Caenorhabditis elegans: one gene and its partner. The protein of the gene in region 1 interacts with the protein of each later gene in a pairwise test. Each region holds a gene or a part of one and is shown in the gene's direction. Other genes may lie near its edges.

Evidence for each region. Proteins that work in one complex are often made in the same cells at the same time.
Region 2: the proteins of ztf-1 (region 1) and mmad-1 interact in a two-hybrid assay, tested with the Caenorhabditis elegans proteins (one large-scale study listed by BioGRID).

The regions. Positions count from the first base shown.
Region 1 is NC_003281.10:8,790,688-8,794,440, reverse strand, and holds the start of ztf-1 (Heterogeneous nuclear ribonucleoprotein C homolog), read left to right. Parts: upstream 1-2,089; 5' UTR 2,090-2,102; coding exon 2,103-2,384; exon of another isoform or gene 2,385-2,614; intron 2,615-2,769; coding exon 2,770-2,903; intron 2,904-2,952; coding exon 2,953-3,037; intron 3,038-3,347; coding exon 3,348-3,461; intron 3,462-3,509; coding exon 3,510-3,601; intron 3,602-3,746; coding exon 3,747-3,753. Other genes in the region: F54F2.14 (uncharacterized protein), read right to left, coding at 2,196-2,235, 2,780-2,862.
Region 2 is NC_003281.10:13,547,260-13,551,012, reverse strand, and holds the start of mmad-1 (Methylmalonic aciduria and homocystinuria type D homolog, mitochondrial), read left to right. Parts: upstream 1-2,007; 5' UTR 2,008-2,008; coding exon 2,009-2,074; intron 2,075-2,241; coding exon 2,242-2,290; intron 2,291-2,342; coding exon 2,343-2,416; intron 2,417-2,577; coding exon 2,578-2,797; intron 2,798-3,098; coding exon 3,099-3,529; intron 3,530-3,753.

The DNA.
Region 1 (3,753 bases):
CTAGATTGATTTTAAGATTCTTGCAAAGACCGGTGGTGGTGCGAGCAAAATGTGGCGCGCAGAAAGACGACGAGAGCAAAAACTGGGAAGACGACGAAATGAGTATTAAGTCAGAAGTCAGAGTCAGAGTATTTTATTCAGAGTTCAAGAGCAATTGAGAGTTGGTTGGTTGGTTGGTTGTCTCAAACATTTTACACTGTGATGGAACGGCGACAACCTACAATTAGAAGTTAGCGACTATTAAACAGAAAATTGCTCCGATTTTCAGATATCATCGGTATATTAAAATAGAATTACCCGTGGCACGTCATTATCATCTGTAAGAGTGGATGTCTCATTTGAACCAAGACCAGGATTGTCAATGAATTGTTGAAGTTCTTCGGCAAGTTTTTGGTTTTTCGGCGACTTCTGGAAAGAAAACCAAAATATATGAAACTCTACTAAACTTTTAACCGAAATTATGTGATTTAAGTTGGAAATTTAAAGGGTTTTGAAGGGAAACTATACTATGCCCTGTAAAGATTCGTAAGTTTATGCATTAGTGTGTATAAAAGAAAATGAGAAGTTTGCAAAGCTATGTGGAGCAGGAAAGTAGAAATAGCTGATAATGAGAAACTTGTTCGCATTAACAATATGAGATCAACGAAGAAAACGAACAACTTCCGAAGAAAAAAGGTGAAAACTAAAAAAACCACTTTACTGCGTTCAAAGTTACATTTTTGTTAAGTTTCTCGCAGCGCCCTGGTGTTAAACAAGCGGCAGATTGAAATTCAGAAAATTTTAGTTAAAAAACAATGAGAAAAGTCCAGTAGATTATCGAAAAACGCATAAAAATTAGTTGAAAAGAGAAAGAAATTTCGTTTTCGAAAACAACAAGTTTTGATTACGGTCATCAAAAGTCCGCAAACACCGCCAGCATACACATTCTGATTTCTACAGTACTCGACGGTGCTTGCTAATTTTATTTTCTTATTTTTCTAAATATTTTCCTTTTTGGCTCAATTTCACCTTACCGAATCCAGATTTCCTCCATTTTTAAAATAAGTTGGGTCCAGAATAATTCCTTCCGAAATAGCTTCGTTGATTGGTTTACGAGTATTCACTGAAAATTCAGTAGTAGTGGAAAAAGAGATTTTTTTGGAAAAACCAACCTGCTGGAGTGACGGTTGCTTTTGGAGCGACAATTTCTCCCTTTTTGACTGAAGGTGACAGACGGTAACCGATCTGAAAAAAATTAGGGTTTTTGATAATAAATAATAAACTTACTTTGATACGTCCGTTGGGTTCAACTGCGGACAAACTGTTTCCATTTTTCACGGTCGGTGCGTGCAACGACGACTTGTCCCGTGGTGGAATTGTCGATGTCCTGTGCCGATGTCCTGTATCTTTTCTCTTTCCTCCAACTGTTCTCTTTAGCAATGTTCTATTGTGGTTATGACGTTCTCTGGAAATAAAACCTGTGAACTTTATTCCTGAAATTCCTATAAACTCACTTTATCTTCTCTTTCTTGACTGTGCAAGCAACGATTAACGTTCCCAACAAGAGGAACAGGGAAATGTCGATGAGAAACATTGAGACTGAACGTTTTCCCATATTTCCACACCCTATATACCCACCAAATGGAAAGAGGAGGGAAGGTTACGTTATAACTATTTATTTTGTATGTAAATTAACTAAACTTTTTTAATGAACTTAATAAACTATCAGACATTTAACCAACACGTAGACTAGAAAATATCTGATTTGCCAGGCTTCGTAGCGGGATGAGGCGTAGAATCCTATAAGAGCAAAGCTTATAATGCCGTTTAAAAATAGTTAAATAAGAACATGCGCATGCGGCGCTCCTATTCCAGTTTTCGCAAAAAGCGTCATTGTTTTTGCCTTCTTTGTAAATCAATGCAGTACTAATGGTCGAGCTTTTTAGAATAATTCCATCGAATGTCTCTCTCTCTCTCTCTCTCTCTCTCTCTCTCTCTCTTTTTTAAAGTTTTAATCGAAAATCATTATCACGGTATTCCGTGACCTGCGCAAATATCTTTACTTGCTCCTCCTTCTGAACGTAAGGAGATCAAAATAATTTTCCAATAATTTCAGAAAAGAAATGAGCGAAGCACTTGAGACCGGTGATCCTTCGCCACCACCTCCAATCGTTTCCGAAAATGGAAAAACATATTATTATCTGAATTCTCAAGAATCACAAGCTCCTAATACACCTTCTCCACAGGAAGTCCCACCTAAAAAAATGACGAATTTGTTTGAAAGTGGACCTTTGGTTTATGAAGATGTTGCAGCCGACATTGAAGCTGTTACCGAGCGTGCTTCTCGGAGGCACTACGAAAATAAAATGGTAGTAAAGAATTCGCGGGAAATGTTTGATAATGTTGTGAGTTTATATTACACTCAAAATGGCCCAAAAAACCCAATCGAAAAACGGTGCCATTAAAAAATGTGTCAAAAATCTTACGGCGGTTCATAATTCCGAAGTGGCCTAGTTTTTCCTAAAATCTCTAATTTTTACAAACTTTTCAGTATTGCAACAATCGGCAATTATTTTTATTTCATTATTCAAATAAAAATAAATTTCCGACCGCTGCGACATGGAAAAGTTTGCAAAATCAGAGATTAGCTCATATAAGATAATTTTAAAGTGTGATGTAGCATTTTAGTGAAATTTTTAAAGTCCCGTAATGAAATTCGGGCTTTTTGGATTATTTCGAGCTTAATAAAGAAACTAAGTTACTCACTCATTCATTAAATGTATTCTACAGAATATCTTACCTGATGGACGATACTATTGCTGCCTTTGTAATCGTCCGTATAAAACACATGCCACATTGACAGCTCATCTGAGAGGATATCATTTGCGAAATGAAAGTTCTTGTGATGAACCAGGCTGTAATTTGTGAGTTATTTCAAAAAATTTAAAATAAAATTGATTATGAAAATTTCAGCTTGTCGTTCACAGATCAAGAAAAGAAGAGACATCGGAGAACACATGATAAAAAGAAAAAAGAAAGAAATTCTCAAGAATCTATGGTGAGGAGACCTTTTTCTTAAAACAAAGATTGCAAGGGTGTCATCGAGAAATTTTTCCGATTTTTAAAAGAAAAATCTGAATATTTTTCGCCTTGTTCGGGGTTTTTTAAAGATTTCCGGAAAGCCACATAATTTAATTTTTCAATTAATTTTTGTTTATGTTGATGAAACAAATGAGATAACATATAAATTTCTTTCGATTTTACAAAAAAATCCAAAAGAAAATTTCCTTTTGCGTTTTTAGAAAAAAAATTCGAAAAACCGGCGCCCTGCCGAGATACAAGTAACATAACATGTTTAATTTTTAAAGGTAATCCATGAAAAAATACAAAAAGCTGTGAGAAGATTGGACTATCCAGGTGAAGATGAGCTTCGGGACCACTTAAACGGTTCAACTGAGGTCCAAGGCACAATTAGGACAATGGTTGGACATTTTTTTCACTTTTAAAAATATATTATAACACAATTTCAGACCAAAAAAGGAAAAATAAGATACGCCTGCCTTAAATGTCCTCATTCAGTCTTCAACGCTTACCATGCAGCTCGGCACGTTGAAATGCATAAGTAATGATGTTATTTATTGAAAAAATTTAAATAATTCGAACAAAATTTCACTCTATTTATAATCTCGAGTGTGATTTTTTTTGTTAAAAAAAGTAAAATTTTTGAATTTTTCGCTCAATTAAAAAAAACCGAAAAATTGTTTCAGTGACTTC
Region 2 (3,753 bases), 4.8 Mb from region 1:
ATTTTGAAAAAAATCCAATTTTCAAACCTTCATCGGTTTTTTTCTCAAATTTTCAACTTTTCCCTCTAAAAATAATATTTTCAGTCTCTGTTAATTTTGTGAATATAGCTTTACTTGTTTTTCTTCCCATTTTCATCACTCACACCATTTCCCCCGAATCCCCGTTTTTCCCCACCAGCTCCTCACTTTGATTTGTTCAATTTATTATGCACACGGGTCCCCAAAATCCCCCTAAAATTATTCCGAGATATTCTTGTACCATTTGACATGTAAATATATATATATATATACTCCATTTTATTTTCCTACTGAAAATTTGAAAATTTCCAGATTTTTATAGAATTTCTATACATAGTTGTCTTGCACCATAAAATGAAGCGATCTTGTTTATAACTTTAAAAATTATTTTTTTAAATGTGGTCCAAAACCCCTTGTTTCAGATATTTTGCTAAATTTTATAACTCGATTTTTAATAATTAATTTCTGAAAAAAAAAGTCCGAGTGCCAGCTCCTCCCACTTCTTGGCTACCATTCAAATTTGGCTTTTTGAGACAATTTAGAGAAAATTTTATTTCCGATTACTAACTGGAAGGTTTCAAAAACTTCAAAAATATGCGATAAATAATTTTATTAAAGAAAAACCGTTCGAAAACTCAAAATTTTGAAAAAAAAGCTCGAAAATCGATATTTCTTTTTTGCAATTCTAAAAGTGTTTATTCTTTTTTAGAAAATTTTCAAAAAATATCGAGAACCTAAAATTGCATTCTTGGGTTCCAACATCACGAAAGTCCACTGAAAAAAACTCCGAAGTGGACTTTGAAAATCCGAAAACTTTCTATTCGCCTCTAGACAATTCTTTTTCACGTGCAACAACTGTGACCCTTCTTTCATCGTTACACTTGTTGTCTTTTCGCTCTCTTTTCTTGAATTGTTGCACTTCTCACGTTCACCCAACAGATTTTAAATCAAAACAAAAAAGTTGGCTTTGAACAAGACTTCGAAGACTTTCAGATTATTTCAGGCTTTTTAATGATAGTAAATTTGGATTTTTGGATTTTTTTTAACTTTTTGGCTTTAAATCTTTTCAAAGATTATTTTTAAATTTTATTTTCTTTTTGAATTTTTAAATTTCTCGAGTTTTCGAACTTTTGGAAGAATTCTAAGAATCGTTGTTCTTGTCTCGGTTTTTTATGTATTTAAACCTTTTTTATTTTGTGAAAAATTCGGAGAATGCGTATTAACTAACATATTTAACGCGCAAAATATCTTACGAGATAGTAATTCTCGAACACTATAGTAATTCTTTAAATTACTACTGTAGTGTCGATTTACGGGCTCAAATAGTGAAAAAAAAAATTATTTGCGAATAGTGGGAGTTACTTTGTTTTTTCGTATTATTATCTCTTTTTTTGCTTAGTTTTAATGTTCTATCGATAAATAAATGTTTTTTAAATCGAGGCCGTATATCGACACAATCGCTACAGTAGTCATTTGAAGAATTACTGTAGTTTTTGCAACGAGATGTTTTACTCGTTGAATATGTTGCACAGTACGCAATCTTAGAATTATGTGTTTAATACTCAAACACAATAAATTAACAATTTAGGTCAAAGAAAAAAAAGAAACACTTTAAGATTACTGTACTTCTTAAAAGTACACGCCTTTTTGATGATATAATCAATATGTCACAAGGTTGAAAAATAGAAACAAAAAATTAGGAATTTAGATAACAACTAATTTGATCAGTAATTACTAGTGTTCTCAGTAATAATAATAATAATAAAGTTCACATGATTCGTCGCGCTCGTTCTTCGGTTTCCCTTTTCTCGTTTTCTCGGCGGTCTCCCCAATTTCAGTGTTCTCTAACCGTCTGCGTAATTCTCCCTCTAGCTGTCACTCAATTTCCAACAAACATGTCTTTCAATATTTTCTTCGTTTTTTCTTGCCTTATTGATTTCTTTCGAATTAAAAGTAAAATTTTAAATTAAAATACAAGTTTTGTTGCAGGATGTTGTCCGCCAAAGGTCCCCAAATGCGTGCGTTTACCCAACGTGTTGCCGCATTTTCAACGCAGGTGAGAGTTTGGATAATGGCTGAAAAATTGCAGATTTTATCGAAAAATCTTTTGTTTCAGAAAAATTAATTTCTTTTTGATTTACCGAATAATTCAATTTTTCTTTTGAAAAAAAGTAAGCGTTTTAGCTGCTTATGTGCTGAAAATCATAAAATTCAAATTTTCAGCTCCAAATCGACCCAATTCCAATCGTGTTCGTCGGAAAGGGCACAACTCGTAAGAAATTCAAAATTTCGATCGACATTTTCACAATTTTTCCACATTTCAGCTCGCCAAAACTCGCTTCTCGGCCCAAATGACAGTCAGTACCCGTTCCAGGGAGACGTCTCGTTTGCTCACAAGGTAAATTTCTGAAAATTGATTTTCCAAACAGACACCCAAAATTATCTGATTTTTTACTCCAAAATCAAATTTCATGTAAAAAATTTGAATTTTCGAAAATTTACCCATTTAAAATAATTCCAATTTAATTTTAAATTTTTTCAAAAACTCAAAATTTGCAGCCATTGAGCATCCGCCAACAAGTGGAAAACTCAAAAATCGAGCGTGTGATGGACGATACGGAGCACAATTTGATCAATTTGCTCTCCAATACAAATATCGAAGTTGACCGTACACATTTGGCTCAATTGAAGGAAGAAGCAATGGAAGAGATTCAGGCAAATGCGGCTGACGTTGAGATTGAACTTTCCGCTATTGAAGCACCAAAGTTGCTCAAAAAAGGTGAGCTGGAAAGCTGGGATTTATAGAAATTCTGAAAATGAACTTTTAAAAAATTAGTCTTTCAAAAAATCGGAAATTGAGATTACGTTCGAGTTAATATTAGTGAAAAATTGAAAAAAAAAATGCTTTGCAGAACTATATTTAGCAGGGGTGTGCGGTAAATTTGGTAAATCGACTTTTTAAAAAATTTACCGTGGTCGTCATACTCGGCAAATCGCAATATTTGTGAAGCTCAAAAAGTGAATTTAAAATTTATTTTGAATTTAAAACTCATAAATTCAAAAATCATTTTTTTTTCCAGAAATGAAATACCTATTCCCACAAATGGAGACTCAAAAGATGAACAACGTGACCGTGTTCAATCTAACTCAAAAGTCAGAATTCGACATGAAAGCATGGAGTGAAGCAATGGAAGAGGAACGTGAAAAGCTCACCGCCTCATTCATCATGTCCGCCAACGCGATTTGCTCAACTCTCCATCGTTTCGGCTATTGGGCTGATTTCATTGATCCATCTTCCGGCCGCCCGTATATGGGTGATTACACCAATCATACACTTTTCGAGACCAATGACGCCTACAAACAAATGGGCTTCAAGATTGAAGACCTCGGATGCTGCAAAGTTCTGCAACACGCATGCTGGGGATCCAACGCATTTGTGGGAACTATTTTCACTGATGCTCCTGTTGATGGGGATGCCGTCAGGGATATTTTGAAGAAGGTTACTCAGGAGGTACAGGATGTTGGAATTTCTGAAACCGAATTTTTGAAAAAAAAAAACGTAAAATTATGTTTGAAAAAATTTATTTTGATGTTCTTCCTGCTATCTAATAATGATAATCATTTTTCAGATTTCCAAAAAAAGGACGAAAATTATGTTTTTATTTCTGGGATTCTACAAAATTTCAGAATTTCCTTACATTTTGTAATTTTTGTACGATTTTCGACTTCACAAAA